Linked DNA regions of Cricetulus griseus. The protein of the gene in region 1 purifies or fractionates together with the protein of each later gene. This does not show direct contact. Links are inferred from orthologs where the notes say so. Each region holds a gene or a part of one and is shown in the gene's direction. Other genes may lie near its edges.

Region 1 (4,177 bases):
CAGGAGGTAGCGCACGCAGTCCCGGTGGCCCATAGAGGCAGCTTCGTGAAGAGGCCGCTTGTAGTCTCGGTTGGCAGCCTCGATGTCCATACTCCAAGTCTCCACTAGATAAGCTAGGATGTCTTGCCGCCCGTGCCGGGCTGCACAGTGGACAAGGGTGTCCCCTGCTGGCCCCTGGCAACCTCGGGCCGCCTCCGGCCCCTGACAACCTCCGGCTCCCTCCAGTTCCTCCTGCAGGGCGCGCAGCCGGCCCTCCTGCACCAGCCTGCAGAGGCGTCGCGGATCCCCAGGCGGAGCCATCACCTTAGACCAAGAGCGACAAAAGTAGGAGGAAGACGGAGATCGAGTCCTAAACACAAACCAGTGCAGCAATAGGTGGGGAGAAGATGATGGGTAGGACTTCCGGTTCCTCCACGTGACCGCTCTCCCAGACGCTCCGCCCCTCAGCGGGATTCGGTCTGTCAGCGTCTTTCTTATGCCACCAGCACTGATTTGGAAGTCACAATTCCCCACGTAGAATGGTGTCTCCTCAGGCGATCGGGTCGACAACAAGCACGCTCATGGGCCATTCATTCTGTTAACTTTGCTCCAAACATGCGGAGTCGTCAGGGTGGGACCTTGGGTTCCCGGAGCCGGTGCAGCTTGGGTTAAGGTTATGCACCTGACATCCTGGAGCTGTTCCTTGCACCCGAGTGATCTGGGGACGAAGTACCTAACGGAATGTAGTGCGCCGCTGTACCGCCAAGTCCTGAAATGGAACAGAGGGGCTTTGCAGCCTGATCTCGCACCGTGCGACTCTCCACTGTACAGTCTATGGGCATGTCTACCACAGCCGGGGTCTCGGGCTGCTCCGGTGGTTGCTACAGAGGCGGAGGGGCGGGAGTGCGAAGCATGGCTGGCTCTCTACAGCCGAATGCACGCTGCCAACCACCCTGGAGCCTACCCGGCTCACGTGTGCTGTGGGGATGTCTGCCGGGCTGCCCAGTCGGGGTCTCGGGCGGCCCAGGCTCCCAACAGCAGGGTTTCTGGGGCCTCTCGGAGGTGGGACAGTGTCCCTGTCTCCGCCCTCTCCTCATCCAATCCGCAGCCGACCCCAGCCCCCTCCCCGCCCGCTGCTGCCGCCTCAACCCCCACGGGAACCCAGAGAGCTCGAAGGAACTCTGGGAAAGTTTCCTTCGCCTCCTCCGCGCCAGCGGAAGGACCAACGGGGCGTGGCTCAGTTCCTTGAACCACGCCCCCTCCCGCCTCGCGTACCGATTGGCTCTAGAGGCCGTCTGTCTGCGCGCCCCTCCAGTTCCGAGTTTCGACTGGTTCATGGGTCCGTCCGTCGTCTCCGGCGGAGGGTGCATCTTGGCTGCGAGGAGGCGGAGCTCGCGGAGGAAGTCTACAGTCGTCTCTGCTCGCTGTCTGGGCCAAAGGAGGGGCTTGCTGGTCGAGAGAAGGCTGGATGTCCAGCGGCACCGGCCGGGTGGTGTCGGCGGCTGGGTCCTGGGCCGGGCCACCATAGTGCGTGAGACCGTGGACTTGGCGTGGGGTGCGAGCCGGGCAAACTTTATCTTGTGGGGCCCAGCGCAGGGGTCTCGGCCTCGGGGGTGGGGCCCGAGCACAGGGTGGATGTAGGAGCTGGCCGCGCCCGCAATGGTCAGGTGGGGGAGGCCGGGGGATCTCTGCAGACCGGTGTCCCTACGCCGCTCCCTGAGGTTCCGGAAGGGGCAACACTCGAGAAGTAGCCTCTGCTGCTGGCAAGCCTGACTTGTCTACACTGTAATGTTTTTGACCTTGGGCGAGTCATTGTATTCTGCTCCCGACATTTGTGTTTGCCTTGGTAGTCTTCCACCCCCTCGCCTGAACTGGTGATTCAGGGGACATAAGGCGGCCTGGGGGCTTTTGGAAGGCTCATTGAGATCCGAGCAAGCTTTGTTAATTCCTTTCGAGGACCTGGATATTTAACCATTGATATGTTTGTTTGTTTGGGGGGTAAAAATGGAAGTCGCTACTTGTCAGGCTTAAAAAACAGTTTCTCTGCATTTGGCCCTGCACTCTGGCTCACAAAGTGCCTGTCATTGTCTATTCCATAAACAGCCCATAGGTAGCATTCTGGTTTTAGAGGCAAGGACATTGAGGCCTAATGAAGTTAGTGATTTTTACCACGTGTTGGTAAGTTGAGGCATCTGGTAGTTTCAAACTTTTTGCCATTTTGCATGGTTTTAAGTCTCAACATTTGGGAGACTAAAATAGGAGGACCTGGAGTTCGAGGCTAGTCTGGGCTACCTACTCCTTCCTTACAAATGGTGATGGATTTTTGCTTTATATCTCTAGTTTCCCATTATTTAAACAAAACTGAGACCCGTGGTTCACAAGAAGATGAAATATTTGAAGTCCAGGATAATTGGTTATTTAATTGGTGTTCTAAGTAAGCTTCTGCCTCTCCTCTGCTTCATGAATTTACTTTGTTGTCTGTTTTCCTTTGGGAAACTAGATATTGTTTGTGAATCTGTCCCACAGCCCTTGTGATTTGGAGAGTAGTGGGTACTTGTGCTTGAAGCTTAGTAATAGGGCTATTGCTGTTCTGTCTGTTTGGTCGAGCTGACCATTTCTTTAGTGAAGGTTTTTGGAGTTTATGGCCTGACCTTTACTGTCTAAATTTCCATGTAGCTGTCATTGGAATTGGGATTTTCTACCTGACTTTTGCTGTATCTCGTGGATCTGTGGCATTTGGGTGTCTTCATTGAAGAACCCATTCTTTAACATGTTTCCTGACTTGTGAATACGTAAAACTATTTAGATTCTAATTTCAAATGTGTTACTATGTCTTTTTCTTCTTCTTCTATTTTTCTACCCCTTCCAGGCTGACTTTAGTTTAGAGACAAATTTAGATTCTGTCTTTGCTGTTCTGGCTGTGAAATAACTTCTAGAAATTTATCACCAGAGCCAACTCTCATGTTGTCAGTGGTCAGTCACATGCTTTTAGAAGGCGCTCTTACATTTCATAGACCTTTTCTGGAGCTTAACCAGGTATTCCTGTAAAAAACAAAACAAAACAAAAACAGAACCTTTAAAAACAAAATAATATGGACATGGTGGCACACACTTGTTATCCCAGCACTTAGCTGGACTTGTTCTAAGACCCTACTGCAGCAGAGCAAAACAAACCAACAACAAACAAAACAAAACAAAAAACAGCAGAAGAAATCCTGGGTTTTTAAATTTTTATTTATTATTTGTTGTTGTTTGAGACAGGGTTTCTCTGTGTAATGGCTCTAGCTGTCCTGGAACTTGCTCTGTAGATTAGGCTGACCTTGAACCCACAGAGATCCTCCTGCCTCTGCCTCCAGAGTGCTGGGATTAAAGGCGTGTGCCACCATGCCTAGTGAAAAATTATTTTTATAAATTAAAACTTTAGGTCTTTCTCTCACTCTGGGAAAAACTATTAAAATAGCTATTTCTCCTTTGCTTTTTTACATAGCTAATGATGCCATTTCTCTTACTGTTGCATAAGAAACTTCAGTTATCCTTGATTTATATCTTAACTCTTAACACCTTGTTGATACCCACCTGCCCTTTCTACCCAACTTGTACTCTCAGGCCCTGTCCAGTTCCTGTTTAACTTGGTACCATGACTTTCTGATTTGTTTTGCTGACTATCTTCATGTCTATCTAAACTTGATTGTGTAATGACTTTGCTTTTAAAAACTGCACAAAACTCTGAATTGTCTATGCAATAAAGGGAAATTTCTTCAGCAGTATATAAGAGGACCTTTGTAGTCTCTGGCCCCAAGTTTATTTTCCAGCCTTGTTACCTATCATTCCCTATTAGAAATGAAACTTTTTTGTCACAGAGGGCTTTGCTATGCCTTTGTTTGTTTTTTTGTTTGTTTGTTTTTCTTCAGATTGTTTTCTTATGCCTAACTGATTTCCATTCATCATTTACAACTCAACTCTTCATGGAGCTTCTTCCAATGATCCTAATTATATTTACTACCATAGGCCCTTATGCATGTATTTATGTAGCGCTTGGATTGCTGTATGTTTAGCAATTTGTGTTTGTTTTGTTAGCTGCCTTATGGTCAGACTTACTTATTTTTGTATGCTCTCCAATGTCTAAAATAGCATTAGCAACAAGGATACCATAAGGAATGCTCTCATGAAGTTCATAGTAAATCTGGGATGCAGTAGA
Region 2 (3,649 bases), on another chromosome or scaffold:
TAATACCTCTCCCAACAAACAGTTTTAAAAATCATGTATGAATTCTAACTTTCTTCTTTTAGAGACCATTTTAACAATAATTAATCTTAGTATATTTATGAGGAGACTAGGAATGGAAAAGTGGGCCGTGGTGTTTATACATTCACGTTAAAATGCATATATCGGGGCTGTGGAGACAGATGACTCCATCCATGTATGTACATCCTCAGGCACAATGTGAGCATGTGACATGCTCACACAACAATATATGTCTCACACATAGTCACGTGAAGACAAAAGTACAATAGAAGATTTTAATAAGTTATGTACAAGAAACTGCACTTAAAATACATAATCCAGATACAAAGTTAGAAGATTTTTATATTCTTTTTATCTTGATGTGTTAGGAAACTTGGGTAGTGACTGGAATTACCTTTATTAGGTGTATCTGGTCTAAAATTGTTGGATTCAGGGAATACATTGATAGGTTGAATCTACTAATGGCTTTTAAGCTGATAGAAGTGCTCACCTTAAAGCAGAATGTTCTTTTTGAACTTCACTGTCAAAATGTGAGCTCGTAAACATCTGTACAAAGTGACTCACTTGAGAGGTTGCTGATTTCATTGTAATACAAGTTTTTTGTTTTTTTGTTTTTTTTATACTGAGTTGTAATCTAGGAATTTTGGTAAAACTAAGAATTCAAATTATTGTCTGACTGGTTTTGGAGAACCATAGTGAAATACAGTTATTTAATGCATCTTTCCCCCTTTTCCATCCAGCTTGCATTGGTGACATGGAGAGATTGTTTATTCAGGCCATTGAATAAACAGGTATCTATTATGGATGTGTTTTTTTCCTTTTAAAAAAATTTCCCATTTCTATGTTGTCTTCCCAAGCCTTTGAACTATCTCAAGAGTATTTGTTGGTCTGGGGACCTGGCTTTGTTGGTAAAGTGCTTGCCATGTAAGCATGAGGGCCTGGGGTAGATTCCCAGCACCCATGGAAGAAAGCAGGTGTGTTGATGCCCACTAGTGATCCTGGCACTGGAGAGTAGAGTCAAGCAGATCCCTGGGGCTCCCTGCCAGTGCCACCCTAGCCTTCTGAATGAGCTCCATGGCAGTGAGAAACTCCATCTCAAAAAGACAAGGTGATGATTCCCGGGGAGCCATACTTGAGATTGTCCACTGGTCTACCTCCACACACATGTACATATATGTACTTACCCATACCCCTAAAACATGGCTTTAAATGTTTAAAGGATATGACCTGTAACATTTCTACCTAATATTTTTTCTGTATTCTTAAAGGTAACAAATGCTGTTTTAAAACTGATTGAAAAGGAAAGAAATGGCGAAACCATCAACACAAGACTGATTAGTGGAGTTGTACAATCTTATGGTAAATAATTGTCTTTATTTGGTTTTCATATCACATGGCAATCATGATAATTCTGGCATTCATTTAAAAACATTTAAATATCACAAATATTATTCCATTTTTAAGGTACTTTTAAGCAGTACTTTTATAAATCATAAGTTATTTAATCTTTGTACTTTAAGGAAATTTTGATTGGAAAAAAAATGAACTATTTCCTTTGCTGCTTTCATGAGGAAATATTTATATATAATGTGACTGTTTTTGACTTAAATGATAACCAGAAACCTATCAGCTTAAAAAATTAAGATTGAGGGGCTGGAGAGATGGCTCAGAGGTTAAGAGCACTGACTGCTCTTCCAGAGGTCCTGAGTTCAATTCCCAGCAACTATATGGTGGCTCACAACCATCCATTGTGAGATCTGGTGCCTTCTTCTAGTGTGCAGATATACATGGAAACAGAATGTTATATACATAATAAATAAATAAAATCTAAAAAAAAAAATTAAGATTGAGACCCTGATTAACTGATGTGTTGTTCAAGCTCAGGTAGGTTTGTGTTTCTGTGAAAATTTACAGTACAACATTTAGATCACTTTTGGAAATGTAGACTTTCTCTGACTGAACTTGTGATAATTGTGAAGTATCCCTGGCCCAGGTAGAGGTGATCTACTCCTATATATCTTGGAGTTTATTGTTTTATTTCTCTTTTATTAAAATAAGAATATTTCAATACTAGTGAATAACAGTTAACCTTAAAACCCTCCATTATACATTGATCTTTCAAGTGTAACTTAAACTGAATGTTACACCAAAGTATTATCTGTGAAATATTACAAAAAGTAGGGTAAATATAGTTCATATTTCTTTCTAGTGGAATTGGGGCTGAATGAAGATGACGCATTTGCAAAGGGCCCTACGTTAACAGTGTATAAAGAATCCTTTGAATCTCAATTTTTGGCTGACACAGAGAGATTTTATACCAGAGAAAGTACTGAATTCTTGCAGCAGAACCCAGTTACTGAATATATGAAAAAGGTAAGCTTAAACATACATAGTATGTAAAGTAGATGTAAGTTAAATAGTCATTGCTTCTCTAGTGAGTTCTTGGCAATGCAGTGTTCCTCACAAGTCAGGCTTGGCACTGATGTCACACTATGTCCCATGGATCCAGCTCCTGTCACTCTGTAAGGGACTTTCACAAATTGATAATAATCATGAGTGAGTGTTCATTCCTTTTGCATAGCTAAGGAGGTGCCTTGATAACTGCATGCCTTCTTCATGTTTTGAACCATCTCCCCTTGAGTGTGACGACTAGTGGGCCCCACAGTTTTGTCAGTGAGATAGTATTGAGCAGATATTCCAAGATTTGTTAGCTATTTCATTTGTTTGTTTTTGCTACTTTTTTCTTAAATATTTCCTAGGAGTTTATAGCTTAGTCTTTAAGATTACATTAGGAAGGAGGATCTAAATTCTGACTTGGGAGAAGAGCTATGTATCGTATTCTATAAGCATTATTTTACTACATGATGCTTCCATGAACTTCTAATAGGAATTTTCTTTGCTCTTTCTTGAAAATTCAGGTATTCTGGATGAAGGGGCTGAGGAATGTCAGGAGTCTTTAAGCTTTCTGTTATATACTGCCAGGCAGTAAATATCTTAAGGCTTTGCGTGCTATGTATGATCTCTTCCACCACTGTTCAACTTTGCTGTTATAACACAACAGTCGGCAATGTGTAAATAAACAAGAAATATGTGTCAGGATTTTGCCAATCAACTGTAGAGTGACTTCTCTCCTGAATGTACTAGATTTTCAAGAGTCTGGTTCAGACCAAGTCTAGTACCTGCTTTGCCCTCTCTTGGGCAGGAAATGGACTGTACAGTCATTGCTTCCGTGGTTCAAAGAAAGAATACATAAGACCAACCACCCTGCTTCTGACTTACAGAAAAAGTCATGCCCAGCTTGTGGTGTTCAAAGTGCATTTTCATACGGTACACTTACATTGCACATGTAAGTGGGCCTTCTAAGCTGAAATTGAAACCCAATTACACATTTCTGATATCTCAAAACCCAACTAAAGTGGGACTAGTTAGTTGTTTATGTGGAATGGTAGCAGTTCTTTGTATCTAGTATGTGACTGAAACCTGGTCAGCTCCTTGCTCCTTAAGAGTATTTGAAATATAACCTGTTTTGAATTGTGGTATTGCCCATTATTTAATTTTTTAGTGTGACAGAGTAGCTTTTGTAAACAGGTCTCTTACTGCAAAGACCTGTTTCCAATCTTCTTTGCATTTA

Evidence for each region.
Region 2: the proteins of Fbh1 (region 1) and Cul1 purify together in Homo sapiens (affinity purification with western blotting; 7 studies listed by BioGRID and IntAct, with this or other methods). This does not show direct contact. The link is inferred for Cricetulus griseus from reciprocal best matches to the Homo sapiens genes FBH1 and CUL1.

The regions. Positions count from the first base shown.
Region 1 is NC_048596.1:228,545,455-228,549,631, reverse strand, and holds the start of Fbh1 (F-box DNA helicase 1), read left to right. Parts: upstream 1-1,348; 5' UTR 1,349-1,505; coding exon 1,506-1,506; exon of another isoform or gene 1,507-1,534; intron 1,535-4,177. Other genes in the region: Ankrd16 (ankyrin repeat domain-containing protein 16), read right to left, coding at 1-300. UniProt on the Homo sapiens protein: 3'-5' DNA helicase and substrate-recognition component of the SCF(FBH1) E3 ubiquitin ligase complex that plays a key role in response to stalled/damaged replication forks.
Region 2 is NW_023276806.1:222,445,024-222,448,672, reverse strand, and holds part of Cul1 (cullin-1), read left to right. Parts: intron 1-758; coding exon 759-809; intron 810-1,286; coding exon 1,287-1,377; intron 1,378-2,227; coding exon 2,228-2,391; intron 2,392-3,649. UniProt on the Homo sapiens protein: Core component of multiple cullin-RING-based SCF (SKP1-CUL1-F-box protein) E3 ubiquitin-protein ligase complexes, which mediate the ubiquitination of proteins involved in cell cycle progression, signal transduction and transcription.